4 linked regions of the Arabidopsis thaliana genome follow. The protein of the gene in region 1 purifies or fractionates together with the protein of each later gene. This does not show direct contact. Each region holds a gene or a part of one and is shown on either strand. Other genes may lie near its edges.

Region 1 (7,547 bases):
GCTTCCTTGTAGTCATTTCTATCATGGAGAGTGTATCATACCTTGGTTGGGGATAAGGAATACTTGCCCGGTTTGTCGGTATGAGCTGCCTACTGATGATCTTGAGTATGAAAGACATAAGAGCTCAGAAAGGGGCGATACTGGTTTGGCAAGGAACGTGTTGCCGGGTAGATATAGTTAATTGAATATTTGAAGTGATCTATTCTTCAAGTTAATAGACATGGTTTCAGAGGCAAGATCCTTGAACCACTTTGTTTATGGTAAGCACTTATCGTGAATGTGATAATGTTTAAGTTGTATATATTCCTTTTGTTTTGTGAAATAAATCATGTTAAACTTTGAACCCTTATCTTGAAGTGTTTGTGAAGTTAATCCATCTTTCATAGTTGTTCTCGTTGAAGATCAATCATGGATTTATAACTAAGCTTCTTACTTCATTAGTTATTGACAACTCTTAAGCTAGTTTTGCATGATCTGGATAGATCTCTCAAGGTAACCTTTTTGTAATGACTTTTATTTTACAGACCCTGAGGTGCTACTTTGTTCTCTCAGTGAAACTTGTGCTTGCATTGTTGCAGAAATTCCAGAGTTTCTTACAGATTCGACGGAGTTTGTTGAACTGTTTAATTTGATGTTTTGAATTCAGAACAGCGTGCCGTTTTTCGTTTAATTAGATTAGGCTTTCATATGGCCCATATATTAAACAGCCTGTTGTAACAAAGCCCATAAAAGAAGAAAAAGAATAAGGGGTGTGAAACATAAAATAAACGAAAATAAAGGGTGTGAATGTGAAATAAAAACAAGTTTGGATTTGTCAATTGATCGCACCGACGCGGAAATCTTTGGTCTCCTCACTCGTCAGTCGTCACCATCCTCGACATTACATTGTTTTTATTTATTTAATTAATATGTTAGTTACCTCTGCACTAAATTAAATGAATAGTTTTATTTGTATATTTTAGGCAAGATGGATTATATATAATGATTAAATAAATTAAGGTGTGTATTCTTCACTAAATGTTTGAGATCTATCCGTCACACTCCAGAGGTTAAACTCAGTCATCTGTCTTTGGGGAGGACAAGCAAGAACCTCACCGACGATTCCATACCAAACAAATTCCCGATCTGGAAACAACTGACCTGTGAAGGTGAAGTGTATCGCTGGAAATGGCGGTGGCCTTCCGTGGAGGCCGGGGAGGCGTCGGATCCGGCCAATCTACCGGACTTCGTAGTTTCTTCTCCTACCGGATCTTTATCTCCGCTTTGTTCTCTTTTCTCTTCCTCGCCACTTTCTCCGTCGTTCTTAACTCCTCTCGTCATCAGCCTCATCAGGATCATGTACGCATCTCTCAATCTCTGAGCTCCTTCTTTATTTCTCTGCTTTTGATTGATTTTGTAATTCGAACAAATTTAGAAATGAATCGGTGGCAATTTCATTGAATCTGAGCTTTGATTTTTGCTGTCTGGTTTTTAGACATTGCCGAGTATGGGCAACGCATATATGCAGAGGACGTTTTTGGCTTTGCAATCGGATCCATTGAAAACTAGGTTGGATCTGATACACAAGCAAGCCATTGATCATTTGACACTGGTGAATGCGTATGCTGCTTACGCTAGGAAGCTAAAGCTTGATGCTTCTAAGCAGCTTAAGCTCTTCGAAGATTTGGCTATCAACTTCTCGGATTTGCAGTCGAAACCTGGTTTGAAATCTGCTGTGTCTGATAATGGTAATGCTCTTGAGGAGGATTCGTTTAGGCAGCTTGAGAAAGAAGTGAAGGATAAGGTGAAGACAGCGAGGATGATGATCGTTGAGTCTAAAGAGAGTTATGATACACAGCTTAAAATCCAGAAGTTGAAAGATACAATCTTTGCTGTCCAAGAACAGTTGACAAAGGCTAAGAAAAACGGTGCGGTTGCTAGCTTGATTTCAGCCAAGTCGGTTCCTAAAAGTCTTCATTGTTTGGCCATGAGGCTTGTAGGAGAGAGGATCTCTAATCCTGAGAAGTACAAGGATGCTCCACCTGACCCAGCCGCAGAGGATCCAACTCTTTACCACTATGCGATTTTCTCTGATAATGTCATTGCTGTGTCTGTTGTGGTGAGATCGGTTGTGATGAACGCTGAGGAGCCATGGAAGCATGTCTTCCATGTGGTGACAGATCGGATGAATCTCGCAGCCATGAAGGTGTGGTTTAAGATGCGTCCTTTGGACCGTGGTGCCCATGTTGAGATTAAATCCGTGGAGGATTTCAAGTTCTTAAACTCTTCCTATGCGCCGGTCTTGAGGCAGCTTGAGTCTGCCAAGTTGCAGAAGTTTTACTTTGAGAATCAAGCTGAGAACGCAACTAAAGATTCACATAACCTCAAGTTCAAGAACCCCAAGTATCTCTCGATGTTGAACCATCTCAGATTTTACTTACCAGAGATGTATCCGAAGCTGAATAAGATTTTGTTCTTGGACGATGATGTTGTGGTGCAGAAAGACGTGACTGGTTTATGGAAAATCAACTTGGATGGCAAGGTGAATGGAGCCGTTGAGACATGTTTTGGTTCTTTTCATCGATATGGTCAATACTTAAACTTCTCTCATCCTTTGATCAAAGAGAACTTTAACCCCAGTGCCTGTGCTTGGGCCTTTGGAATGAACATATTCGATCTCAATGCCTGGAGACGCGAGAAGTGCACCGATCAATACCATTACTGGCAGAACCTGGTAAGTCCATTGTTTAACTATGTAATGTATGATTCTTCCTTAGTAACCTAGACATGTCAAAGCTCTTTTAGGTACTTATCTTCTGTTGGTTCTTATGTTTTCCGAGCAGAATGAAGACAGAACTCTCTGGAAATTGGGAACTCTACCTCCGGGATTGATCACATTCTATTCAAAGACGAAATCATTGGACAAATCATGGCATGTACTTGGGTTAGGCTATAACCCGGGAGTGAGCATGGACGAAATCAGAAATGCAGGAGTGATTCATTACAATGGAAACATGAAACCGTGGCTAGACATTGCGATGAACCAATACAAGTCTCTCTGGACTAAATATGTTGATAACGAAATGGAGTTTGTGCAGATGTGCAATTTTGGTCTCTAAAGAGAGAACGATGAAAACAAACAAACCGGAAAGAGGAAAAAATAGGGAGAAGAGGTAACCTCGGATCGATGTGTTTCTGTCTTTCTCGGCATTCTTTAACTGATGATACGTTTATCTTTATATAGGGTTACAAAAAAAAAGAAGCATTTTGCTTGTTATTTCTGTCATAGTTTTGGTCTTTATTTTTATTTTGTAAACTCTTCACAGCAATATGTTCTCCCAAGCTACAATGTCTTGTTGTCTTTATTTCATACTTGTCTGCCTTAAGAATCATATAGAAGAAACTCTAAAGGTTTTTTTTTTTTTTTTTTTTTTGAAACTCTAAAGGTTTGTTCTTCCCTTTCTAGAATGCTGCATAATACAGGTAGGAACGTATAAAGTGTAATTGCAAAAGGATTTGGTTTGGTGATGAATTAGGATTCCGTTGAAGTGAGAATTCACTATTTGGGTTTACCCCGGCTTAAATCAAATGTGATGTGTAAAACGAGTTTGGTTTTCAAGTTTTCAAACAAAAACACACAAACACACGGTATTTGAGGAAAGACTATATATTTTCTCTGTATGAAAATCAAATTCCAATGACCAATATGATGTCAAGAGAAAACAATTCAAGATCCAACGACTACTACCACCCACCCTTTTCTTACCTAACGCAGGAGTGGCCAATTTTGACAATACTTTAACAACAAAAAAAGGGAAAAGGAGAAAAAAATATTATTACTTTGGTAGCAGTGGTGCGAATCAGACCGTTCATTTGCTATATATCTGCTACAAACAAACATCACTAATCTCTGCAATTTTTACTCTCCTCCTTCACGTCTTTTCCTCTTAATTTTTTCTAGGAAAATTCTCAAATCCATCTCCGCGATACGAACAGGTTTGTTTCTCCGATCATACTCTCTCTCTTTTTGTTTTTTCCCCAATCAATTTTGGTTTGGTATCTGATTGTTCCAATCACTTTTCGATATAAATGATGTGTACCGAAATTTCAGAAAAAATTATTTAACTTTTATGTGATCCAGCATTTTTGTGTGATTCCGTTGAAAATTCCCATTATGTTGTTTAGATCGGTGTTTTAAGTAATCGAATCTTCGCTCTTGTTGTTAGTGTATGCCACGATCGTGATCTTTTTTTTTTTTTGAGATTTGTCATGTTGATTTATTGATTCTGTGTTCGAAGATCTTGGGGATCTTATTTCTGGTTTGTATCGTTGCGTTTATTTGAGATCAATCATGCATGAATCTGTTTTGTTTTACATACATCTTTCTTAAATTTGTGATGTATTTATTTGTTTGGCAGAGAGAAGAAGACTTAGAAAAATGGCTGTTCAACCTACAAGAATAGGTCTAGCTGGACTTGCTGTGATGGGTCAGAACCTAGCTCTCAACATTGCAGAGAAAGGCTTCCCAATCTCTGTTTACAACAGAACTACTTCCAAAGTTGATGAGACCGTCGAACGAGCCAAAAAGGAAGGCAATCTTCCTCTTTACGGCTTCCATGACCCCGAGTCTTTTGTCAAGTCCATTCAGAAGCCACGCGTTATTATCATGCTTGTTAAGGCTGGTTCTCCCGTTGACCAGACCATCAAGACCCTCTCTGCTTATTTGGAGAAAGGTGACTGTATTGTCGATGGTGGTAATGAATGGTATGAGAACACTGAGAGGAGAGAAAAAGCCGTGGCGGAGAACGGTTTCCTCTACCTTGGAATGGGAGTTTCTGGTGGTGAAGAAGGTGCTCGTAATGGCCCATCTATGATGCCTGGAGGCTCTTATGAAGCCTACAAGAATATCGAAGACATTGTTCTCAAGGTTGCTGCTCAGGTTAGGGATAGTGGTCCCTGTGTGACTTATATCGGTAAGGGCGGGTCTGGAAACTTTGTCAAAATGGTCCACAATGGGATCGAGTACGGTGATATGCAGCTGATTGCAGAAGCTTATGACGTCCTCAAGTCTGTTGGTAAATTATCGAATGAGGAGCTTCACAGTGTCTTCTCTGACTGGAACAAAGGTGAGCTTGAGAGTTTCTTGGTAGAGATCACAGCAGATATTTTCGGGATCAAGGACGATAAGGGAGATGGGCATTTGGTTGACAAGGTCTTGGACAAAACCGGCATGAAAGGCACAGGAAAGTGGACCGTGCAGCAAGCTGCTGAGCTATCTGTTCCTGCTCCCACCATTGAATCCTCTCTTGATGCGAGGTTCCTTAGCGGGCTTAAAGATGAACGTGTGCAAGCAGCTAAAGTCTTCAAGGCAGGTGGGTTTGGAGATATCTTGACCGATCAGAAAGTTGACAAGAAACAGCTAGTCGATGACGTGAGGAAGGCTCTTTACGCATCCAAAATCTGCAGCTACGCACAAGGCATGAACCTTATCCGTGCCAAGAGCATAGAAAAGGGGTGGGGATTGAAGCTAGGTGAGTTAGCTAGAATCTGGAAAGGAGGCTGCATCATCAGAGCAATCTTCCTAGACAGGATCAAGCAAGCTTATGACAGGAACGCAGAGCTAGCTAACCTCTTGGTGGATCCAGAGTTTGCGAAAGAGATAATCGAGAGACAGTCCGCGTGGAGAAGAGTCGTCTGCTTAGCTATCAACTCGGGTATCAGCACACCGGGTATGTCTGCGAGTCTAGCCTACTTTGATTCTTACAGGAGAGAGAGATTGCCGGCAAATCTAGTCCAAGCACAGAGAGACTACTTTGGTGCTCATACATATGAAAGGACTGATGTGGAAGGATCTTTCCACACCGAGTGGTTCAAGATTGCAAGACAATCTAAGATCTGAGATCTCTCATCCTCTTGTATTCTTCTTCTCCTTCAATAATAAGTTCCACACAGTATGTTTCTTTCCTCAATGTGTGAGATACCTTGGCTTATTTATGATTGTAGAACTGAGTTTCTCATCTTTGTGTTTCTTTTTCTTAAAAAGATTAAAACTGAAGTCTTTGGTTATAATTTTTTACTTTTGGTTTCATTGACTCCTTTTTATTTGGGTGTTTATGCGATGGGCTTAGTAATTTGGTCGGCCCATATAAACTTTTCCGACAAAGTAAGTAGATACGTCATCATTCTGCCATTAAACGTCATTGCAATTATCTCGTCTCCAGCAAAACGGGAAATCAAACTTCCGATGATCGTCGTCTCCCCGTTGGGAATAATTCGTTCGCAGGGAGTAACTCTGTTACCGAATTCTCGTACGGCCTGCGAAAGTTGAAGACTTTAACAAAATATATTTTTACCTTTCGCCAAGTGTTCGACGAATTGCCTCAGCGACTTCGTTTCCTCTTGAACGACTGAAACTGATCTCAGCAGCTATGGAGGAGAAAGACTGGGAAGGTTCTCCGCTGAGTGAAAACGAAGCTGGTTTACTATGCTATGATGACGAAGAATATCAATTTGGTGGTCCAGCTCCCAAATTACAATTCAGGTGGAGAGACTTGATTCAGGATATGATTGTCCGTGTTAAGCTAATTGTTCTTAGTTCTTACAATCAATTTCTTTCTTTTTGTGCTTGCAAATTATAGAGTAGGATCCTCCAAGGCTCGTTGGAATGCTGAATTAGGATTTAGGAATGGCCGAAGTTGAGGTCAAAAGGGGTAAACTTTGGACGACAACTGGAATTATCCGTACCGGAAAAACATATTGCTTCATAGAAGAGGCTCTGTATGTGGCAAACGAAACATTACAAGTTTGTTTTTAAAGATTGCAGTGTTTACTCAAATCACCTGATGAAGTTTCTTCCTTTTTCGAATTGTCTTCTTTCTGATGCAGGTATTTGAGTGAAATTGGAGAGTTGCAGCTCTTGGGTGATGAGGATGACGTAGTGATTTCATTGAAGGACTTGTATGGGGAAATAGCGGAGGGAAAATATGGCTGCTGTTGGGAAAACTACGAGGTTTATAGATACTTAAAGGGTCTTGGTTACATTCTAGGCAGACATGGAGTTCCTTGGACTACAAAATATGCTGTGAATACTACACCAAGTGATGAAGATGAGTCACTTTGTGCTGCAGAATTTTTCCAAGACAGAGACTCTGTTACCAAACTCCTGAGTGATATGCATATCTGTGATGCAAGACCGGTGTTTGATGTGTATTTGCCAAACAGCCAGTTCAAGAAGTCTTCTCCTGGTGAACCGAGCTTTGTCACTTGCTTCTCGGGGTAAGCTGTTTTCGTTACTTCAAACGACAAAAGCAAATTTTCTCATAACAAGTCTTAGTCAATGTACTCTATCTTTTGTACAGAGACTCTCCACCAAGTAAAGAAGAAATTAAAGTCCTGCAAAAGTGCATAGTTTCACCATTGATGTTCTGTCATATCGCTCAGGGCCGTGCCACTTTCTTTTCCTTCAATTCCATAGACCTCCTTGTCTTACCATAAATGTGAGAAAAGAAAACGGAATGCTCTTGTGCCATCAGACAAAGGTGACAAAACTGAGTGACTGAGAGTTTGCA
Region 2 (8,124 bases), on another chromosome or scaffold:
CTGGACTTTCTATTGGGTCATCGTCGTGCAGCGCTTTTTCGAAGAGCTGAGCTGAAAACACTTGTGGATTTTCATGGAAATGAGGTATGCATTGATCCCATCTTCCATATTGAAAAGTTTATGTACCCCTTCTATCTATGTCATGATGTTTAGTGTATTGTTTCTTTCAGGCTGGAAAGGGTGGGGAGTTGACTCATGACGAAACGACAATCATTGCAGGAGCTCTTGAACTCTCTGAGAAAATGGTCAAAGATGCAATGACACCAATATCGGATATCTTTGTGATTGATATCAATGCCAAACTAGACAGGTTTTGTGTTGTGATTCCTTGGAGACCTAACTTATCAGAAACACACTTGCCTGGAGTCTTTATACTTCTCATGCTAAACACTTTTCTTTTCTTTGTTCCTCTGGTATAGAGACTTGATGAACTTGATTCTTGAGAAAGGGCATAGCAGAGTTCCAGTATACTATGAGCAGCCAACTAACATAATCGGCCTTGTTCTGGTAACTCCCAGTCTCATGCATTACTTCCACAATTTGACTCGCTTCTCTGTGAAGTCATTTTTCACAAATATTTTCCTCTTTAGTGTTATGGTTCCACTTCTAACCATTCATATCTATTATCTTCAGGTGAAGAACTTATTAACTATCAACCCAGATGAAGAAATACCTGTCAAGAATGTCACGATAAGAAGGATTCCAAGGTGAAACTTCCAAATCTAAGTAACTAAGCCCCACTGAATGTGCTTCAAAAGCTGATTTCTTGCTTTGTTTTAGAGTTCCAGAAATCTTGCCTTTATATGACATATTGAACGAATTCCAGAAAGGACTCAGCCACATGGCTGTTGTTGTAAGACAGTGTGACAAAATCCACCCATTACCTTCTAAAAATGGTAAACTGCTTCATTAATCGACAAAACAATGTCTTGCTGAGTTACAAGTATTGAGAATCTTTGCTTTGGTTTCTAATAGGGAGTGTTAAGGAAGCCCGAGTGGATGTGGATAGTGAGGGAACTCCTACTCCTCAGGAGAGAATGTTAAGGACAAAAAGATCGCTTCAAAAGTGGAAGAGCTTTCCGAATCGAGCAAGTTCGTTTAAAGGAGGGTCAAAGAGCAAGAAGTGGTCAAAAGACAATGATGCAGACATCCTGCAATTGAATGGCAATCCGCTGCCTAAACTTGCTGAGGAAGAAGAAGCAGTCGGAATCATTACGATGGAGGATGTCATTGAAGAACTTCTGCAGGTAAGGAATCTTATATAAGTTAAAAACAAAAATTCTTTTTCACGGATTAATTATTGCTTGGCTTGTGGTTGCAGGAGGAGATCTTTGACGAAACTGATCACCATTTTGAAGACTCCTAACACAGAGTGCATGACCACTGAACTGGTTATGAATGTCGAAAACTTTAGTCTTTGTTTTCAACTTTCAAACTGTCACTTGTCCGGCGAATGTGTATCAATGTAGGCATGAACAACAACTTTTTCTATGGTTTCAAGATGTTTTCTCTCTATATATATATCATTGGTCTCTAAGATATGTCGCTCTCTCCTTTCTTCAAAGAGTTTTACCAAATCTGAACCCTCATAGGCCACACCAATAGTTGTCTCTACTACCTATATATCATTAGTCTCTAAGATATGTCACTCTCTACCTTACTTCAAAGAGTTTTTATTCGCATTTTACTAATACAAGAATTAATGAAATATGATCATCTTATGGATACAACATCACTGCCGGTGTAAAAAGGCAATTACTTTTGTCCGGAAAGATCTAGTCCCTACCATATTTTCTCTTCTTCCTATCCCTTTTCTTCTCTTTTGACTTGTGTTTCTTACTAAGTTTCTTCTTATGCTCCTTTCTCTTTCTATGAGCCCGTTTGTAAACTTCCTCCTCGTCGGAAGAAGAAGAATCTGTCCTACGTCTCAATAAAGGTGATCGCTCTGGCTGAATCACTAGCTTCCGATCTCCTGTATCAGAAGTTCTTGACAATTCCCTCTCAGGAAGACAGGGTAGCGGTTCATCCATCATAGCACCAACAGAACCTCTGCCACGCTTGACCCTATCATAGACCAGAATCACAAGTTTTATCAGCAAAAGCCGATCCCAAATTCGATCATTATTGTAAAGGAAATAATCAGGCAGCATCTGAGTATAATGGAAATACCTTGATTGGAGAAAAGTCTTAACCTCGACATCTCCTAAGCCTTCATCATCATCATCCTCTGATTGCCATCTTTTGCTTCTGCTCCGGCTTGATGATGGTGATAAACTAGTAGTAGTAACATTCTCATCAACTGAAGTACATCTCTTTAAAAAATCCCTCCTATTGTTCTGCTCACTTTGACCATTGCTGCTCTCATCTCTTGATTTTCTTTTGAGCCTTTCACCAAACTCAATCTCTTTACTCCGAAGACTCCACATCTCATTGGTTTCCACAGCTTTGTTTGCTGAATGGAATAAAGAAGAAACAAATAAGAGATAAACTAAAAAAAAACTAGATTTTGTTGGATAGAAGCAAAGTCTGTCAACAAAAGATTATACCTTGCTGAACACCAAGAACTGTAGCAGTGAGAAATCTAGAGTTAGGTCGATGCCTTACATTAGGCTTCTCAAGATATGCTCTGACGCCATCTTTCTCAGCTTGTCTCCTCAATTCTGCTGCTTCTCTTAAAAGAATGGAAGCTATTCGATTTTCAGTTTCCAGATCCATCTACTCCAAGGTAAAACAAAAAAGTATAAGCCTAATCAAGTTATGTGATCAAATCAATCTGGGTAGATCAAACAAAGATGGAGTTGAACTTAATTCGACCACTACAGCTATCTAAATCATTGCTTCTTAATCACAGAACTTCCACTAAAGCTACGTTCTTTCGACAACGAAATCAACGAAGCAAAACAAACAAAATTACGTAAACACACAACAATCGAAAAGGGGATTTTTGGAGAACCCTATTGGTCGAGATTAATTACCACGAAATCGAATTGACTCAGATACAGATATCTAGTAGCAGCTTCACGAAATCGTGCGATTCCTCGGCGTTTTCCAGCAGGCGCAGAGCAAAATCATTGTCCGAGCCAGAGAGAGAAATAAATAAATTGAACTGAATTGGAAAATTCCCAAAAATTTCTAGTAAAACCGAACCGGAACAAACCGGATTAATTTCCTCTCAGACCAAACCGAAGAAGAACCCTAGTTTTATCAGTCTCACCAACTATCTCCCATGGTTCATTTGCTCTGCAAATTTGTCTGAAAAAATCTTTGTGCGAAGCAGGAAAAATGTCGTCGACCCATCAGTTAGTTTCTTCGATGATCTCTTCTTCCTCATCCACTTTCTTAGCCCCTTCAAATTTTAATCTCAGGTGCGTCGTTTTGTTTTCTTTTACTCTCTGTTTGCTACTGATATAATCTAGTGAGGATGAATATGAAATTGGATTCATTTCCAGAAATTAATTGTATGTTATGAATTTACTTGGAAATTTCAATCCTTTGGTTTTTAAGTCGATGTTGGATGGTGTTGTTTGGCCAGAGAACAGTGCATTTGCTTGTGATGATCATTGATTCATTTTTTTATTGGTTTGCTTTCCTTTTTGGCTTCAGAACTCGAAATGCTTGCTTACCCATGGCAAAACGGGTCAATACTTGCAAATGTGTTGCTACGCCGCAAGAGAAGATCGGTAATGTTCCTACTCCATGTTGTTTTTGCTGTAATGATTAGTAACATAGTTAATGATTTATCGTCTTTTAGCTGTTTATCTGTTTCTTACAATACATGATTTTGTTTTCTGTATGTAGAGTATAAGACCAAAGTGTCACGGAATTCAAACATGTCCAAACTTCAGGCTGGATACCTATTCCCGGAGGTTTGTTACCTGTTACTCTCTTGGTACTACTATTTAAGATTTCAAATACCTAAAGGAGTGGCATTTCAAGTTAACATTTTTGAAAGCTTCTAGTGATCTGAAATATTATAACTATCTGTGTAATAAGTTAATATATCCTCATTGATTCTGTATATAATGCTCCTCTCTCTTATTTTTTTGTGTGGATGCAAACAGATTGCAAGAAGAAGGTCTGCACACTTGTTGAAATATCCAGATGCACAAGTTATAAGTCTTGGAATAGGCGACACAACTGAGCCAATTCCTGAAGTGATCACTTCTGCTATGGCAAAGGTACCTCCTTATCTTAACTTAGCTTCATGTGCTCTTTGCCCTTCTCTGGGCTCTAGCATATTTTAAACTGATTTTACTAACACTGCCCTAACATGTATTATTTCGTTCATTTTGACAAAAATGTATAACATATTTTCTGTTTTGGCGTATTTGGATTATTAAACGAGAACTTCTCTGTAATCTAACAATGAAAATTATTCTGGTAGCATAGTTTTTTTGTTTGCTATACTATTCACACAGGCATGTAATCTCTAGAGATTAATCATGTTTTTTTTCTCTGACAGAAAGCTCATGAGTTGTCAACAATAGAGGGATATAGTGGTTATGGTGCTGAACAAGGTGCAAAGGTCAGTGCACCCTTCATTTCCACCTTATTGCGTTGTTATCATTTCTTTATTATCTGCCTTTGCACGTCACTTCAATTTTATTATGGATAGTCTTGAACTGCTGCTAAATTCAAGAGAAGATGGATTTAAACCTGTTTCTTACATGTAAAATCTTAAAGCTTAATCTGTTAAGTTTTTATCCAAACTAACCTTGATTTCACATATGTGAAAAGCCACTGAGAGCTGCTATTGCGAAAACATTCTACGGTGGCCTTGGCATAGGGGATGATGACGTTTTTGTTTCTGATGGAGCTAAATGTGATATCTCACGTCTCCAGGTTTGTTTTATTGCTGACTATTCATCTGTAATTGATACAAGATTAAGAAATATGAACAGCTGTTTCTTGATTCCACTTCTTGCAGGTTATGTTTGGTTCCAATGTTACAATTGCTGTTCAGGATCCTTCATATCCGGTAATTGGGCATATAGAAACCAAATTGCAGTTGTAGTCTTCTCTACTTTTGCTCCATTTTAACGTGGAACTATGCTGTCTCGTTTTTTTTGGATTATACAGGCTTATGTGGACTCCAGTGTTATTATGGGTCAGACTGGGCAATTTAACACTGATGTGCAAAAGTATGGAAACATCGAGTACATGAGATGCACTCCAGAGAATGGCTTCTTTCCCGACTTGTCCACCGTTGGCAGGACAGATATAATTTTCTTCTGTTCCCCAAATAACCCTACGGGTGCTGCTGCCACGAGAGAGCAACTAACGCAGTTAGTTGAGTTTGCAAAGAAGAACGGTTCTATAATAGTGTATGATTCCGCCTATGCAATGTACATGTCTGATGATAACCCACGATCCATCTTCGAAATCCCTGGAGCAGAGGAGGTAATAGACTGATTGATTATAACATTAAAAGGTCCATTTTTCAACATCTTTCTTCATGTGTACAACCGCTTACAGGTCGCTATGGAGACAGCTTCGTTCAGCAAATATGCTGGTTTCACTGGAGTTCGACTTGGTTGGACTGTCATCCCGAAAAAGCTACTCTATTCAGACGGTTTCCCTGTTGCCAAAGACTTCAATCGGATTATCTGCACTTGTTTCAATGGTGCATCTAATATCTCTCAAGCTGGTGCTCTTGCTTGCCTTACACCCGAAGGACTTGAGGTTAGCTTAGCTAAAGAGAGATCTCAAACCAGTTCCCACTAGTTCAGATATGCAAAATGATTTATTTTGTTGTCTTTTGAATCATTGCAGGCAATGCATAAGGTGATTGGATTCTATAAAGAAAACACAAACATAATCATTGACACATTCACATCTCTCGGGTATGATGTATATGGAGGAAAGAATGCGCCTTACGTATGGGTTCACTTCCCGAACCAAAGCTCATGGGATGTGTTTGCTGAGATTCTGGAGAAGACTCATGTGGTTACAACTCCAGGAAGTGGGTTTGGACCAGGGGGTGAAGGGTTCGTTCGTGTCAGTGCCTTTGGTCACAGAGAGAACATCTTAGAGGCATGTCGAAGATTCAAGCAGCTTTACAAATGAAGAACCTTGTTTGTAATCGTTCCTCATCATCATCACCCTCTTTAATGACATGATTTGAGTTAAAATAATGTCGTTTCCATTGTTTTCTGGAATTTGTAGAAGACACTTTTGACACCAGTGTTTCAAGCAATTTGGCAAAGTATTTTAACAACGAAATCAAAGTGCAAATAAGTGAACTAGTGTGGAAAATAAAATATTTAAATTGGACTGAGGAAGAACGTCAAAAAAATATAAAATTGGATTGGTTAAATAAATCTAAAATTGGACCGGGATGGGTGTTTTCGTAATTTAGGCTTGTTGAGCCACCGTGTGGGCAAAAATATCCAAAAACACAACACAAGTGTTGTCTTCTCGCGTCTCTCATCAACGAGAACCAGTTTTTTTGTTGATCCTATCAACAATGACGAAAATAGAGCTTCGAGCTTTGGGGAACACAGGGCTTAAGGTTAGCGCCGTTGGTTTTGGTGCCTCTCCGCTCGGAAGTGTCTTCGGTCCAGTCGCCGAAGATGATGCCGTCGCCACCGTGCGCGAGGCTTTCCGTCTCGGTATCAACTTCTTCGACACCTCCCCGTAAGCACTTCTTCTTCTTTTATATTTTCTAAAGATTACTGATTCTTCAATACTAATTGCTGATTCTCTGAATGTTGAGACTAATTTAATCGTTAAAGTCAAAATTTTTATTGGAAGGTTTCATATTTACTTTTTTATTTGGCATTTATTGTGTGTGTGAAGGTATTATGGAGGAACACTGTCTGAGAAAATGCTTGGTAAGGGACTAAAGGCTTTGCAAGTCCCTAGAAGTGACTACATTGTGGCTACTAAGTGTGGTAGATATAAAGAAGGTTTTGATTTCAGTGCTGAGAGAGTAAGAAAGAGTATTGACGAGAGCTTGGAGAGGCTTCAGCTTGATTATGTTGACATACTTCATTGCCATGACATTGAGTTCGGGTCTCTTGATCAGGTTTACCACTTTATTTCTCTTGGGTTTATCACTTTCGTTGTTTGTGTCTCAAACCTTTACTAAGTGTTCATTCATTGCTGCCAGATTGTGAGTGAAACAATTCCTGCTCTTCAGAAACTGAAACAAGAGGGGAAGACCCGGTTCATTGGTATCACTGGTCTTCCGTTAGATATTTTCACTTATGTTCTTGATCGAGTGCCTCCAGGGACTGTCGATGTGATATTGTCATACTGTCATTACGGCGTTAATGATTCGACGTTGCTGGATTTACTACCTTACTTGAAGAGCAAAGGTGTGGGTGTGATAAGTGCTTCTCCATTAGCAATGGGCCTCCTTACAGAACAAGGTCCTCCTGAATGGCACCCTGCTTCCCCTGAGCTCAAGGTTTGGCATTTTACAAAAGAATGTGATTCTTGTTAACATTTCTGTAGCACTTGTATTGATACACCGTATAAGAGACTAGTGTTAAAACGCCATTCGTGCAGCATTCTCTCGAGCATAGGCAGGTTAAATTCTATAGATGCTATACTTCTGAGACTGACAATCTTTGTTTCTTAACTCGTACAATCATTGTGATTAGTCTTCATAGGCAAGATTAGAGACACTTCAGATAGTTCCCAATGGGTATTAACATGTTAGTTGGTCTTTGATGAGTATTCAGTAGAAAATTAAACAGATTCACATGGACGCTGGTATTTAGTTGAATTGATGTTTGGAAGAGTAGGGGATGCTCTTGAGTTAGTTTTGGTTTGTTCTCTGTTTGATATTTTGATTTAGTGAGAAGTAAACGAAGATACTGACTTCTTAACAAATTGTTCTCAAATATGAAAGTCATAACCCGTTGCTGCTTTTATTGTCTTATGTAGTCTGCAAGCAAAGCCGCAGTTGCTCACTGCAAATCAAAGGGCAAGAAGATCACAAAGTTAGCTCTGCAATACAGTTTAGCAAACAAGGAGATTTCGTCGGTGTTGGTTGGGATGAGCTCTGTCTCACAGGTATTCAAGCTTGGTATTTCCTTGTCAAGTCCCAAATTATGTGGGAAGTTGGAGTTAAATATGAAAGAATTTGTGTGTTTCTGAAACAGGTAGAAGAAAATG
Region 3 (8,002 bases), on another chromosome or scaffold:
ACACTTCCAGCAATCGCAGCACTAACTCCTTGAACAGCCATTATCGTTTTAGAATCTGGTTTCATCGTGGTACTATTGTTCCCGCTTTCTTCGTCTTTCTTACAGACATAACACCCAATTCCACCCCAAACCATCCGCTGTGCAACAGAGTAAGACGCCCACCAAACAGCATTAGACGGCGCATAAGTCAGAATCGATATCCCAAACCCTCTGTATAACCCCTTCGGTCCATCAGCGCGAACGATCTTTCTAAATGCATCAAACCCGTTAACATAATTACACCTTGATGCATTAACAAGACCAGCACTTCCTTGAACCATAAGCCTTTGGCTAACCACATCAACAGGAGTCCAAACAAGCTGTGCAGCCATCGCAGCACTCAAACCTCCAACCGCATTAGCAACAGCAGCAGCTTTAGCCTCTGTCAACCCCAAGCTGACAGCAGCAGAGCCTACGTTACTCTTAGTAACCTCCAAGGCAGTCATGTACAAAGCACGAGCAGGGATAGTTCCCATCAAAGAAGTTCCAAATCCTCTGTACAATCCCCTTAAACCTTCATGTCTCACAAGAGTAAACGCAGTTTTAATACAAGAACCTTGCGAATGACACACTTGTTGCCGAGTTTTCATCAAAACCGCAGGATAAAGAGCTCCAGATACCCCTGAAAACAAAGCAGCGCCTAAAACGAAAAACTTGGATTTATCAAGCATCTCCCAATTGATATCAGCTGGTAAATGAATCTCCTGAGCCGATTCTTCCTCGGCCGCACCCAAATTCATCTTCGCCACTTTCTAACCAACCCAGAGAAACACACACAAAAAAAAAAACTTTTTTAAACAAGGAACAAAAAATGTTCCTGAGATGTGTTTCAGAGCTCAATCTCTATCTGTACAACTTTTCCTAACCTCGCCGCAAATTTCTATTTACAATCGGAGACTGTAACCTATCCCCAGGATTAGAAAGACCAAAAATTTCTAAAAAAGACAAAACAAAAATTAGGATTCAACGAGAACGAAAGAGGAAAGATTTCAGAAGCCAAATCTCAAAGCAAGAGACGACGGCATTTTTTGCGTCTGTGGAACCACGTCTTCGATCCAAAACGATCACCAAAACCATGCGGATCTAACTCTAACAACAACATCTTCGAAAACAGAACCGATTAATCGACCTTACCGAAGAAACGATCATCCTCGCCGGTAAGCGATAAAGAAAAATCTAACCGCGAAACTCGTTTCCTTCGCCGGAGATATCCAATAAGCACCAATACAAGACCGATGTTAGAAGAGAGAGAGAGAGCTCAAAGAGAGTAATCGCGACGAGAGCACACGAAAATGAGACCTTATACAGTTATACTGTTACGAGCGAGTCTAGGGTTCCGGTTTTTTTCCCCCTGTAAATATACCAAATTGAGATACCGGTATAGATTATAAACCGGCTTGCATTTTCCGGTTCGATTAGCTGATTTCTCTATGTAACAAAATGCCATTTACAGTTTTCAAATTTACCGGTTAAAATTGACCTAACCGAAACAAATAAAGTGGAAATGTTTTAGTTTTTGATTCAACTAAGTGTATCATCAATGGATTTTATATTGTTTCCATATTGTGCAAAATGTAATCAGAAAATGATCACGATGTGCAAATTGGTTTGCTTAATTTAAGATTGAATTACAGATTTTTTTTTATCGAATATTAAAGGATTTATTAAGGAAATAAGGAAGATCTGGTAAAAATCAGATGCTGGCAGGTGACACGTGTCACTCATGACTAAGGTCTTAAACTCTTACGGATAAAGAAAGCGACAAACTGGGAGCACTCTTAGAAGACGAAGAAGATCGACGGCAGAGATAGAAAAAAGCTAAAAGGTCGTCATCGAAAACAACGGCTAAGATCTTGTTCTCGGATCAGACCCAACAGAGGAGAGAGAAAATGGATCCGCTTTTGTGATTTGGATAAGATGACGTGGCGTCCATATCCTTGGGTCGTTGGGCAGAGAAGAGAGCAGAAGGCAGTGTGAGAGGCACGTGATCTGTCACGTGATTTTTGATTCTTTTTCACTGTTACACTTCCACTATCGTTCGAGCTATATTTTTTTTTATGAAAAAAGAATCTAAAGATTTATCAGAGTTCCTCCTAGAGATGCTAAATTTATAGGAACAGTGGTGGTCCTTGGACAATAGTATGATACTACCAAACACCAACAGAAATCATTTTTCTGTCGTTGTATCATTTACTGACATAACTTGATTACAAAAATATAGTATTAATTAGCTTTGGGAGTTTCACATATTTTAGTATCAAATCAAATATACAACAGAAATCAATACTATAGTATTTGGAAATGCCCACTACCTAAACATATACTACATTTCTTTTTCGGTCCACGCTTACTTATTACATCGTTAATCCTTATCTTCAACAGATTAGATGTTAAAGTGAGTAGACAAGCTTAGACTGATTCCAACCATGTGATTTGATTCCAAAAAGAACATTATAGCTGTGATGGGCTTGAGTGACGAACAACACTGTTGGTTCTGTATCAACTGGTGATGACCATTATTTCAGCCCACAACTTGGAGATAAAAGAACCAAATCATAAGCAGTTTCCACAGACTAAAGCACCAACAAAAACTATGGAAAGCTTTTATCGAGCAAAAGATCACGAGTCACAAACATAACAAAAAAGTACACGAATCATGAAATCAAATTTCTCAAGTTCCCTATCAAAACGCTTTAAAATACAGAAAAGGGATCCCTTCTCATTTATTGTGTCGTTCTCTCCCAAACCCCAAAACACTATTACCCAAATTTAGAGAGAACACACAACGGTTAGTTGAGGTATTCAGAGTTTGAATCAATTCTAATTCAAGTCTTTTATTTGAAGTATAAGCTTATTGGGCTGGTTTTTCACAATGACTGTATATTTGACCCAATCCGCCCAATGTGACGAAAAGGAGGACCCATAACTAGTGGTGTCCTTTACTTTCTTTTTCTTTTCCAAAAACGTTAAGATCATAAACTCCATACCTATATACATTAATATGAACTATGAAGTGTCGTCTACTTTGTATGAATGTTGCTCTCATAGTCTCATCTCATTATTTATTTTTGTCCTTTAAAATGACAAAAAGATAGTGACATTTATTATTTATTTTTTGTTTCCGTCGCTTGTAATATATTTATTTGATTAATAAAATGGGACGAAATCACAAATATATATTAGAAGAACAAAGAACAATAGATACAAATAATAGTAACATTATATTTTACTCATAAGAATATACTTCATGTGTGGCACATGTCTCATGTAGTCCATACATTCGTGTTTTTTTTTGTTGTTGCATATTTGATATCTTAAACACTAAAATTTACACATGATTCATGAATGTCAAAGATTCATTTCTCCCTAGTGCTTCTTTCTCTACCATCAAAAGAAAATTCATGACTAATAATCCATACAAATAATAGTAACATTTTACTCATAAGAATATACTTCATGTGTGGCACATGTCTCATGTACTCCATACATACGTGTTTTTTTTTTTTTTTTGCATATTTGATATCTTAAACACTAAATTCACACTAGATTCATGAACGTCAAAGATTCATTTCTCCCTGGTGCTTTCTCTACCATCAAAAGAAAATTCATGACTAGAGAGATATATACATAATTTGGAAATTGGAATGACAAATGAAAAACAAACAATAAATGAATACTTTCGTCCCAATATTTATTAGGTTATAAATAAATTACTTGTGACTTGTGACTAAAGGTGTCAACAATCATTCTTCTATCCAATCAATATCATCAAACTCTTCACTTTACTCTCTCTCTCACTCATAATGGCCTCATTCTCTCTTCCCCACTCCGCCACCTACTTTCCTTCCCACTCTGAAACCTCACTTAAACCTCACTCCGCCGCTTCCTTCACCGTCCGTTGCACCTCCGCCTCTCCCGCCGTTCCTCCACAGACTCCACAGAAACCCCGTCGTTCACCCGATGAGAACATTCGAGACGAAGCTCGTCGCCGTCCTCATCAACTCCAAAACCTCTCCGCACGTTACGTCCCTTTCAACGCTCCACCTTCTTCAACAGAATCCTACTCCCTCGACGAGATCGTCTACCGTTCACAATCCGGTGCTCTCCTCGACGTCCAGCATGATTTCGCCGCCTTGAAACGCTACGACGGAGAATTCTGGCGTAACCTTTTCGATTCTCGCGTCGGTAAAACAAATTGGCCGTACGGATCAGGCGTGTGGTCGAAGAAAGAGTGGGTACTCCCCGAGATCGACGATGACGACATCGTCTCTGCTTTTGAAGGAAACTCAAATCTCTTCTGGGCTGAGAGATTTGGTAAACAGTATCTGCAAATGAACGATCTTTGGGTGAAACATTGTGGAATCAGCCACACTGGCTCCTTTAAAGATCTGGGCATGAGTGTTCTCGTTTCTCAGGTGAATCATCTTTCATAAAGTTTACAACTGTATAACCATCTTCAATAAAGTTTACAACTTTATGTTATTTTTTTGTTTCTCAGGTGAATCGTCTCCGGAAAATGAACAAACCAGTCATCGGAGTTGGTTGCGCTTCTACTGGAGATACCTCCGCTGCTCTCTCTGCTTACTGTGCTTCCGCTGGAATCCCCTCGATTGTCTTCTTACCTGCGGATAAAATCTCCATGGCTCAGCTTGTGCAGCCGATTGCAAACGGAGCGTTTGTGCTTAGTATTGACACTGATTTTGACGGATGTATGCATTTGATCAGAGAAGTTACGGCGGAGCTTCCTATTTACTTGGCGAACTCTCTCAACAGCCTCCGTCTCGAAGGTCAAAAGACGGCGGCGATTGAGATTCTGCAGCAGTTTAATTGGCAAGTTCCTGATTGGGTCATTGTTCCTGGAGGCAATCTTGGTAACATCTATGCGTTTTACAAAGGGTTTCATATGTGTAAAGAGTTAGGTCTTGTTGATCGTATCCCTAGGCTTGTTTGTGCTCAAGCTGCTAATGCAAATCCACTTTACTTGCATTACAAATCTGGGTTTAAAGAAGATTTCAATCCATTGAAAGCAAACACTACATTTGCTTCTGCTATTCAGATTGGTGACCCTGTTTCGATTGATAGAGCTGTGTATGCGTTGAAGAAATCTAATGGGATTGTTGAGGAAGCTACAGAGGAAGAGTTGATGGATGCAACAGCTCTTGCTGATTCTACTGGTATGTTTATATGTCCACATACTGGTGTTGCATTGACGGCGTTGATGAAGCTGAGAAAGTCAGGAGTTATTGGAGCGAATGATCGGACTGTGGTGGTGAGTACAGCTCATGGATTGAAGTTTACACAAAGTAAGATTGATTATCATTCTAAGAACATAAAGGAGATGGCTTGTAGATTGGCGAATCCACCAGTGAAGGTTAAGGCAAAGTTTGGTTCAGTTATGGATGTTCTCAAGGAGTATTTGAAGAGCAATGATAAATAAGCTTTGTGTGTTTGTTTCTTCTAAAGCTCTTCACGTCCTATGATGATATTGTTGGCTTTGTTATTAGAGGAAGTAATGAAATTTCGTTTCTTTGGACTTGTGGAATAAAACGACTGGTTGGTTCCGTGATGCTCGCTAGTTGTTTCATATCAAACTACTACTGAGTTTTACATATGCTCTTAACAAAAGTACTCACGACCTGTCTTTTAACCTCTTCTTTTAAATCTTTTAAGAAACAATAAACTTATCTAGAAAATTAACTTCAAGAATTTTTTTCATCTTATTTAAAACCAAAAGAACTCAAAATTGAGTTAACATTAACATTGGGTCAAAAACTTAACTAGAACATAAGAAAAAACTCCCAAGTAATACAAATTTAAAACGTTCCTCTTCTTCTAGGTAGTCTTCTTACTTTAGGGAGTAAAACTAGGTGATCTAGTTCCACGAGCAGTCTCTTCCTTCATGCACTACCAAAGGTTCAAGCCTTCAACAGAAGGTACAACGGCCCTGATTACCACAACGGCCAGGAAAAGGCCAAGTACTTCCACTGCGAATCGGTTCAGCCTTACCAACTACAAGATCCCATCCTCCCACGTCATGTCTACCAAGTTCCAACGCCTTCTCTGCTCCTTCTTTCAGATCAATGTAAGCATATCCTAAGGAACCACCGGTTCCGTGGCTTGGGGGAACAAATACGCGTGTGATCTCCCCAAAAGAACTGAAATATTTACTCAATGCGCTCTTTATATCATCCACAGGAAGGGAAGCGTCAAATCCCGTAACAGAGAACGATCGACCATTGACACCAACAGAAAATAAAGAATCTTTAGCAGCTGGCTTGACACCAACAGAGAATAAAGAATCTGGCTTGAAACCAGCAGAGAATAAAGAATCTTTAGCAGCTGGCTCGAAACCAGCAGAGAATAAAGAACCTGGCTTGAAACCAGCAGAGAATAAAGAATCTTTAGCAGCTGGCTCGAAACCAGCAGAGAATAAAGAATCTGGCTTGAAACCAGCAGAGAATAAAGAATCTTTAGCAGCTGGCTTGAAACCAGCAGAGAATAAAGAATCTTTAGTAGCTGGCTTGGCGGCACTTGCAGCAGGTTTGTTTACAGGTTCCTCAGCAGAAGACGATTCATCCTCCGAAGAAGTGTCCATGTATGAGTCATCGCTCTCAGAAGAAGCCTTAGCAGAAGTCTTCATGGCAGGAACTTTCTCACCCTTGGCTGAGATGAGAAGCTCCTGTATATCCGCCTTTATTGCCAACAAATCCGCCTTTGTTACCAACAAATCCACCTTTGCTTCGAGACGCTGAAGACGATCAGCGAATTCTTTGATCATCTCCTTCTCATCAAGGTTTTTCAAGACGGATACTTTCGTGATCTCCGTCTGATCAGATTCTTCCTTCTCGGAAGGAGAAATCACGTCTTTGGCCTTAATCATAGCAGGAGCTGCTTCAACTGTGGTTGCGGATAACTTGCTAGACTCAGCCATGGAGAAGATGACAAGAAAAGAGAAAGAGCGATTTTAGGTTTTCGAGAGACAATAATCCAAGCCTGTTGTTTAAGATATATATATTAGGTTACATAAAAGATATATGGCGTTTTTCTAACGCAACTCGGTGGTGGTTCATCGTCACGTTGCTGTTATTAGGTTACAATTACATAAAAGATGGCGTTTTTGTAACGCAACATTGCCGCCATATTATTATTTTTTTGATAAATTATTAAATTATTACAAATGTTTTTTTAATTATGTATTTTATTGTTAACAAAGTTTTTTCATTAATTTAGAAGGGAAAAAAAAGTGGAATCGACTAAAAAAGGCAAAGAAGTGGGGTTTCAATTGGCTGTGTATTAAAAAGTTGAGTTAATCAAATTAAATATTTATAAATACCTATCAATTTGTTTCTTGTTTGATGATATAAAATTAAAGCTATAGTATTTTTTTCTTTTTTTTCTAAAAATATTGAATATATTTTTCAAAGCTATAAGTTCTCCATCCAAACATAGTTCAAAATAAAATAAAAATGGAGAGTATTACAAGAAAAACTAGTTGTATAGAGATTTTTTTTGGTTCATCCCAAGATGGGCTAAAAACTGTAAAAACGGATACTAGGAATTGTATACACCACAAAATTACGTATAAGAAAGTCTAAACAAAAGTAAGGTAAAAAAAACCAACACAGTAGTAATCCAAAAATCCAAAATCTAAAAGAAATAGCCTCTATACGCTTGGGCTGGGCCTATAACCCGTTGAAGATCCGGATTCATGAAGTCCGGGTTCGGGTCCTAAATTGGATCTCCCTCTTTTCACAGAGTTCATCTTCTCCAATTTGAGTCCGGCTCTGAATCTTGCGATGAAATCATCGGCTTTGGTATCTACGTCGGGGCTCGGACAGAACATACTCCCGGCGGCCTCCTTACTTCCAGCTGATTGAGCTACATCCGGATCATCAGGTTCGTCGGAGCTTATGCTGATGTCACTAGCCATCCTGACGTAATCTCCACGCTTCACGAATTTCCA
Region 4 (7,362 bases), about 18 Mb from region 1:
CTGTTAACCTATTTAACGACATGACTCAAATGGCAAGTCAACAAACACTTTGTCATTTATTTCGAAAGTCAACAAAAACTTTACGATTTATTTATCTTCCGTGAAGTTCAAAATTAAATCGTCCCAAATTTGAAAGACATTTTTCCCGAATATCATTTATGAATTATGATACAATGTTACTAAAAAAATCATTTTTATGTCTCATGCATGTAGTAACGAACACACACTAATATAGTAACAAATGATCAGACGTTACTCTTAAAAACTAGAGTGGTCATCATGTTCAAACTTTAAGGTACATTAGACCATCTAATTAGAACCATGCGTAATTAGTATTGTTAAGTAACCAAAAGAAATAACGACGATCAATAGTAAGTTTTTTTTTTTTGTGTGTGTAACCAATAGGTAGTACTTAAGTTAAATGTATATTATTTCATTCCTATTTCTTTAAATTGGTATCGATTCATTCTAAAATGTTGCATGGATTTTTTTTAACATCTTTAGATAAAGTTTTATGTTCCGTTTTTTTTTTCAGGTGACAAATTTCAAATGTGGGGGTTTTGTCCTAGGACTAGGCATGAGCCACAACATGTTCGATGGAGTCGCCGCTGCGGAGTTCCTCAACTCGTGGTGCGAGATGGCCAAGGGTCTTCCTTTATCCGTCCCACCATTCTTGGACCGTACGATTCTCCGGTCACGAAACCCTCCCAAAATCGAGTTCCCACACAATGAATTCGACGAAATTGAAGATATTTCCGACACCGGAAAAATCTACGATGAAGAAAAACTCATCTACAAATCATTTCTTTTCGAACCCGAAAAGCTTGAGAAGCTCAAGATCATGGCGATTGAAGAAAATAACAATAATAAGGTATCAACATTTCAAGCCTTAACCGGGTTTCTTTGGAAATCAAGATGCGAAGCTCTACGGTTTAAACCGGACCAACGGGTTAAGCTTCTGTTTGCGGCGGATGGACGGTCAAGATTCATCCCACGTCTCCCGCAAGGATATTGCGGGAACGGGATTGTGTTAACCGGTTTGGTGACATCATCGGGAGAATTAGTTGGGAACCCTCTTTCTCACTCGGTGGGTTTGGTCAAGAGACTGGTGGAGCTGGTTACGGACGGCTTCATGCGGTCGGCTATGGACTACTTCGAGGTGAACCGGACACGGCCGAGTATGAACGCGACACTTTTGATTACATCCTGGTCAAAATTGACATTGCATAAACTGGATTTCGGTTGGGGAGAACCGGTTTTCTCTGGACCGGTTGGTTTACCAGGGAGGGAAGTGATCTTGTTCTTACCAAGTGGTGATGATATGAAGAGTATCAATGTGTTTCTTGGCCTTCCTACTTCAGCTATGGAAGTGTTTGAAGAGCTTATGAAGATCTGAAAAAGAACATACATTTTCATAATCAAATTATGATATATTCTACCAAATTATAAGCAAAGGAAAATTATAATCTAGTCATTATTTATACATGTTATATTTGAATTCACGTTTGTATCCATTACAAAAATTTATGTAATTCGCAGAAAATATATATATGTCAAATTAAGTTATCGGACCGGATCGGGTCAAAGAAACCGGATTGGTTAACAAAGTCAAACAAACAAATATTGACTTGAGTTTCAGATTCCAGTAAAATCAAACCGGATCGGGTCTGAATTTAAACCACCGGGTCGGCTCCATCTAAAATCTGAAGATCATCTCCGCCTTATCTTGTTGACTATCTCTGTACTACTTACGAGCGCAAGTGAGAGAGTAACAGAGAAACGTAGAGATATAGCAAAATGGCTGCGACGCTTACTGGATCAGGGATTGCTCTAGGGTTTTCGTGCTCCGCAAAGTTCTCTAAGAGAGCTTCTTCGTCGTCCAACCGTCGCTGCATCAAGATGTCGGTTTCGGTAGAGGAGAAGACGAAGAAATTCACTCTTCAGAAATCTGAGGAAGCTTTCAATGCTGCGAAGGTTAGGCTTTTCAATTTCCATGAATTCAGTCAATAAGAAATGTTTCTTCAGATTGATTACGCCTTGATGTTCTGTTGCTTTGGTTTTGTGGGATTTGATCATATTTTTGGTTAAAGTGATTATCTTTGTTACCCTTCAAGGAACATTGCTAACAAAATAAGATTACTTGAGATAGAATCATAATCTGAGATAAAGTTTTTGTTTTTATTGGTTTCATTCTGTTCTGATTATTGAAATTGGTTTGGTTCCTTTGTGTAGAACTTAATGCCTGGAGGTGTGAACTCACCTGTACGTGCTTTCAAATCTGTTGGTGGACAACCAGTGGTGATGGATTCTGCAAAGGGCTCACGAATAAGAGACATTGATGGAAATGAATACATTGACTATGTTGGATCTTGGGGACCTGCTATAATTGGTCATGCTGATGATGAGGTTTGTTTCTTTCCAGTTTTGATGATTTTTAGATAGCTGAAAGTTTAGTAGTTGATACGGTGATGTGTCTAGTGCAGGTTCTTGCTGCTTTGGCTGAGACAATGAAGAAAGGAACAAGCTTTGGTGCTCCTTGTCTCTTAGAGAATGTTCTTGCTGAGATGGTGATTTCAGCTGTTCCAAGTATTGAAATGGTTCGGTTTGTTAACTCCGGTACAGAGGCATGTATGGGTGTGCTACGTCTTGCTCGTGCCTTCACAGGGAAACAAAAGTTCATCAAGTTTGAAGGTTGTTATCATGGTCATGCAAACTCTTTCCTTGTCAAAGCAGGTAGTGGTGTAGCTACTTTGGGTCTACCTGACTCGCCTGGGGTCCCCAAAGCAGCTACTTCAGATACTTTAACAGCTCCATACAATGATATTGCTGCTGTTGAGAAGCTTTTTGAGGCAAACAAAGGAGAGATTGCTGCCATCATTCTTGAACCTGTTGTTGGTAACTCGGGTTTTATTACACCTAAACCAGAGTTCATTGAGGGAATACGCCGGATCACTAAAGACAATGGTGCTCTTCTTATTTTCGATGAAGTCATGACTGGTTTTCGTTTAGCCTATGGTGGAGCTCAAGAATACTTTGGAATCACACCTGACTTAACAACTCTTGGGAAAATCATCGGTGGTGGTCTTCCTGTGGGAGCATACGGTGGAAGAAGAGACATCATGGAAATGGTAAAGCTAGAGTTGTTAACAATTGAACCGAATAATCTTTTGAATTTGCTGCAAGAGATTGAGAAAGTCCTGATCCTTTATCACTCATGTCTTTTTGCAGGTTGCACCCGCAGGACCGATGTATCAAGCTGGTACGCTAAGTGGTAATCCGTTGGCTATGACAGCGGGTATACACACGCTGAAGCGGTTAAGTCAGCCAGGGACATATGAATACTTAGACAAGATCACAAAAGAGCTTACAAATGGGATACTAGAAGCCGGGAAGAAAACCGGGCATGCGATGTGTGGCGGTTACATAAGCGGGATGTTCGGTTTCTTCTTCACGGAAGGACCCGTCTATGATTTCTCGGATGCAAAGAAGAGTGATACAGAGAAGTTTGGAAAGTTTTTCAGAGGAATGTTGGAAGAAGGTGTCTACTTGGCACCTTCTCAATTCGAGGCCGGTTTTACTAGCTTGGCTCACACTTCAGAAGACATCCAATTCACTATCGCAGCGGCCGAGAAGGTTCTAAGTCGGCTCTAAAATGTCTCTGGAAGCTTCCAGGGAACCATGAATGTATTTGAAATTTTTTGATGTAGAGAAAATTAGATTCAATTGAGAGCAAGCAAGCAATCTCACAAAATTTAACTGTGGTAAGAAAAGTCAAAATGTCTATGAAGATTTGTTGACTTTTTAAAAAGAGTTCTTGCTTTGCGTTAACGTCTTACAAATCACACAGAATGATTTCTATTGCAACACACTTTTTCATCATGTAGCCAACATCATAATCTGAGTCATAAGACGATATATTTCTCCACGGAACAAGGGAAGTGCATCTGCAAAGTTAAGCTTCCATATTCAGTTTTCTTCACATTTCTATAGATTCCCTTGCCCATTTATGTCTTTGTCCGACCTAAGACGACCTAGAAAGTGGATACACAGTCCATCCAACGAGAAAGTTTCACTAGTCTCCTACTTCCCAAGGTTACGTCTTTCATATGTTTAGTTGCATTTTTCTTTCTTCACATCTTTGCTTCTAGCTGTAGTTTGTTCAATCCAACCGACCGAGCTGCTTTTCATTGTCTTAAAGAATGAACAAGAAACATCCTGATGATTATGTGAAGATGTTTTGGAGACCAAGCTGATTCGAACTTTCTTTCTAATTCGGACACAATTGAGTTGGAATTATTTGAAATTGGAAAGGCCCAGTAAGGAAGTGATCCAATATTACTTGCCTTAGACAAAGACTTGGCCCACTCAGTCCATACAAAATATTCCTTTTTATTTATTTAAAAATATGAATACTCCTTGACTTAGGCCAATCAAAATTTATAATTGATATTTTTTGTTAAAAGAATTTATGATTGATAATGCCAATATTTTCTGTATTGAAACATTTTTTAAATTTTTCTATTTTTTGTTTTTTTTGGTTATATCCGAAGAGTAATGTGACCACGTTAATTCTCAAGTCAAATATTATCTTTCATAATTAGAAAACTTTATCGTATATTATTAATATTATGTCCTTAAAATAAACAGAAAACATTAAGTATGACCAAAAAAAAAAAAGACAGAATCATGATGGATATTTTAAATAGTTTTCGTTAAATCAGAAAATAGGAAATATACATTATCCCCAATAGATAATTACACAAATTTTTATAAAGAAGTAGAGAAACTAACTCCGGAAAATTAATCCTCTACTTCGCACACTTGATAAACTCAGAAAAATACGACAGCGTAACGGGGTACACGTGGTGGTTGGTATATCAAGTTGGGGTAAAGTCAACATTAACGTATTTTTATTCATGTAGCTGCTGCGGAAGAGGACTGCTTGCCATGTTTAGGGGTTTGTCCATCTTCAATCTCAGCCCTTCGATCATTTCCGCAGGTACACTTGTTCGCTTGACGAACCACTGAGATTGGCTCAGGGGATGAAACTGTGCCTAGCTTCAACATATCGAGGCTCACCTCCGGTAACTTAGCAGCTTCGACTTCTTTCTCTCCTAGATGCGGCGACGTTTTACAGTATTTGTAGACAACGTAGAGTATCATTTGGAGTGCACCGAGAGCAAAACCAAGCACATTCGGGAACTGCACGAAAAACATTTGTTGTAGTGGCAATAACATAATAACATTTTAATATACTCACTTTTCCACTTTCTAGCTTGTGAATAAAGTACGTTAAAAACGAAATAAAGTAAAGTTTATGGCAAACTTGTGCGGCATCGATAGAAGTTACGTACAAAATATAATTTCTATGTAACAATAAAGATAAAAAGAACTTAATATATTATGAACTTCTTTTGCAAAAGCTAAATCTTTTAATGTTTCTGTGGAACATAAAGCGAGAGTTTCTTTATAATTTGGTTTATTTTTATCGTAAAGGACGATACCAAACAAAAGGTTTTGCTTTCATTAATCGTTTTTTTTATCTTTTGCCAATCCATATCTCTTTTTATCTATGAATCTATGATTAGAACCTCAAAGTCTCAGGTTCATTAGAAACAAAAGCACCCACTTCATGTAATATACTGTTATGATAATGATAGACATATGATTATGATGCTTGACGACATGATAATCATGTTAAAACATATATATTCATTATAGCAAATAGAGAGAGATGAAATGGCTTACAGCAACATAGATGTCCTTGAGAGCAAGACCATAAAGGAGCCATATGACAGCACTGATGGTAAGGGTTAAGGATAAGCTAAAGGGCATGTACTCCACACTTCTTGTCTTTATTACCGTCCTCTATATATAATTAAACAAAAATATATATGTTAATTATTATTGTTACCAAATCATAATTTAATCACTTGGTAAATTAGCTATTTCGTAGTACTTACGATTATGCTTAGAGGAGCAGCGAAAACACAAACAGAGAATCCGACACAGATTCCTCCGATAATCTTAGCACGTGTGGCTCCTTTTACCAAGAATTGGCAAAGAAGGAGAATCGCACAGAATCCTCCAAAGTTCATAAGAAGTAGCATCTTCACTGTCAACATCTGCATCCATTAAGAAATGTTTTATTTAGCAACTTCATTTGAATAATGTTATGAACAACGTAACATGCATGTCATATGAACTGAGGATTAATTATTAGTTACCCGAGCTGGCTTGGGAGCGTAGGCAAGGAACATAGAGATGTAGATGGTTTCGATGAAGCAACCAAAGGCGTTAATGGTTACGAGGAGGAAGACATCTTTCTTCTGTGTCGCATAGTAAAGCCAAAGCGTCGCACTGAAGAGCGCCACAACATAAGGAATAGACTGAAACCCTTCTGTTGTCTTCTTCTTCCAAATCCTATAGAACGTTGGCCTGCGTCCAAAAAAAAACTGAATATTAGTTACTCAATTATATCGGAGAATATTGATGTAACGTAGTCATATATATTCTGATTTGTTGCATATATATTACTTACACAGGAGATAGGAACACGGCAAAGGAGATAAGGTTGCCTGAAAATTATACAAGAATATAGCAAAAATATGATATTAAGAAATCGATATTAAATCTCTAGAATTTAGATATTAGGGTTGCAGAACTTGATCAAAAATATTCATAAGAAATGAACACAACGTTAGTATCATACCGAGCAAGCCAAAGACAAAGGCCCATGTGTTTTCAGTGTTGAAGAGACTCATGGTATATAAGTTGTTAGGAGAAGGAAGAAGAAGAGAGATAGCACTTAGTTTTGCAAGTGTTTTCTCTTAATGTAAAAGCTAATGGCACGAGCTTAGTGTTTCGGGGACTTCACGTATATATAGGGGTTAGGGCTAAAGGGAGGAATGGGGTTTGTGTGGGAGATGGAAAAAGGAGAAATGTTTGTGTGAACAATAATATTTTGAATAATGTTTGAATTTCTTATTTATTTTAAAAAGCGTTAATGTCATTGTAGTTGTATAACAAAAAAAGACCCGCAACAATAATTCACACGCTAAACCATTACCAAATCATATACATTTTGACGTACAAATAACAATTCTGTTACCAAATAACCTTTTTTAGGTTTTGGCTTAAGAAATAAAACATAATTAGTTATGTTAATAATGCTTGTCAATCTCAGCTGTTTAGGCAAGCTATTTTCTTAAGGATTATGTCTAGATTCTACGTATGCATCTCTAATTCTCTATATATACAATGACATAATTATGACCTAATCATTTTACGATTTTGAGGGTTTTCACCAATCCTATTATTTAACTTATTTACACAACGTAATAAGTATATTTGCCAACTTCG

The links.
Region 2: the proteins of AT3G02360 (region 1) and AGD2 fractionate together in Arabidopsis thaliana (co-fractionation; one large-scale study listed by BioGRID). This does not show direct contact.
Region 3: the proteins of AT3G02360 (region 1) and AT1G72810 fractionate together in Arabidopsis thaliana (co-fractionation; one large-scale study listed by BioGRID). This does not show direct contact.
Region 4: the proteins of AT3G02360 (region 1) and GSA2 fractionate together in Arabidopsis thaliana (co-fractionation; one large-scale study listed by BioGRID). This does not show direct contact.

The regions. Positions count from the first base shown.
Region 1 is NC_003074.8:478,081-485,627, forward strand, and holds AT3G02360 (6-phosphogluconate dehydrogenase family protein), read left to right. Parts: upstream 1-3,695; 5' UTR 3,696-3,975; exon of another isoform or gene 3,976-4,206; intron 4,207-4,397; 5' UTR 4,398-4,417; coding exon 4,418-5,878; 3' UTR 5,879-6,072; downstream 6,073-7,547. Other genes in the region: AT3G02340 (RING/U-box superfamily protein), read left to right, coding at 1-181; GAUT9 (galacturonosyltransferase 9), read left to right, coding at 1,168-1,338, 1,475-2,713, 2,823-3,098; AT3G02370 (tRNA-splicing endonuclease subunit), read left to right, coding at 6,665-6,756, 6,865-7,254, 7,338-7,473. UniProt on the Arabidopsis thaliana protein: Catalyzes the oxidative decarboxylation of 6-phosphogluconate to ribulose 5-phosphate and CO(2), with concomitant reduction of NADP to NADPH. Required for guided growth of the male gametophytes and interaction between the pollen tube and the ovule.
Region 2 is NC_003075.7:16,169,789-16,177,912, reverse strand, and holds AGD2 (Pyridoxal phosphate (PLP)-dependent transferases superfamily protein), read left to right. Parts: upstream 1-3,189; 5' UTR 3,190-3,282; coding exon 3,283-3,365; intron 3,366-3,603; coding exon 3,604-3,680; intron 3,681-3,798; coding exon 3,799-3,866; intron 3,867-4,061; coding exon 4,062-4,178; intron 4,179-4,462; coding exon 4,463-4,525; intron 4,526-4,737; coding exon 4,738-4,842; intron 4,843-4,927; coding exon 4,928-4,978; intron 4,979-5,079; coding exon 5,080-5,400; intron 5,401-5,475; coding exon 5,476-5,682; intron 5,683-5,772; coding exon 5,773-6,066; 3' UTR 6,067-6,232; downstream 6,233-8,124. Other genes in the region: AT4G33700 (CBS domain protein (DUF21)), read left to right, coding at 1-84, 171-310, 420-507, 634-707, 781-896, 976-1,247, 1,322-1,366; AT4G33690 (G patch domain protein), read right to left, coding at 1,776-2,064, 2,170-2,452, 2,547-2,715; AT4G33670 (NAD(P)-linked oxidoreductase superfamily protein), read left to right, coding at 6,467-6,636, 6,799-7,027, 7,112-7,411, 7,894-8,022, 8,112-8,124. UniProt on the Arabidopsis thaliana protein: Required for lysine biosynthesis. Catalyzes the direct conversion of tetrahydrodipicolinate to LL-diaminopimelate, a reaction that requires three enzymes in E.coli. Not active with meso-diaminopimelate, lysine or ornithine as substrates.
Region 3 is NC_003070.9:27,396,234-27,404,235, reverse strand, and holds AT1G72810 (Pyridoxal-5'-phosphate-dependent enzyme family protein), read left to right. Parts: upstream 1-3,761; 5' UTR 3,762-3,842; coding exon 3,843-4,454; intron 4,455-4,537; coding exon 4,538-5,476; 3' UTR 5,477-5,962; downstream 5,963-8,002. Other genes in the region: AT1G72820 (Mitochondrial substrate carrier family protein), read right to left, coding at 1-779; AT1G72800 (RNA-binding (RRM/RBD/RNP motifs) family protein), read right to left, coding at 5,963-6,970; AT1G72790 (hydroxyproline-rich glycoprotein family protein), read right to left, coding at 7,703-8,002. UniProt on the Arabidopsis thaliana protein: Catalyzes the gamma-elimination of phosphate from L-phosphohomoserine and the beta-addition of water to produce L-threonine.
Region 4 is NC_003074.8:18,047,900-18,055,261, forward strand, and holds GSA2 (glutamate-1-semialdehyde 2,1-aminomutase 2), read left to right. Parts: upstream 1-1,671; 5' UTR 1,672-1,797; coding exon 1,798-1,974; intron 1,975-2,232; coding exon 2,233-2,406; intron 2,407-2,483; coding exon 2,484-3,128; intron 3,129-3,228; coding exon 3,229-3,651; 3' UTR 3,652-3,879; downstream 3,880-7,362. Other genes in the region: DCF (HXXXD-type acyl-transferase family protein), read left to right, coding at 536-1,396; SWEET11 (Nodulin MtN3 family protein), read right to left, coding at 4,915-5,202, 5,749-5,868, 5,964-6,125, 6,228-6,438, 6,542-6,578, 6,713-6,764. UniProt on the Arabidopsis thaliana protein: Transaminase converting glutamate 1-semialdehyde (GSA) to 5-aminolevulinate (ALA). Involved in the biosynthesis of tetrapyrroles.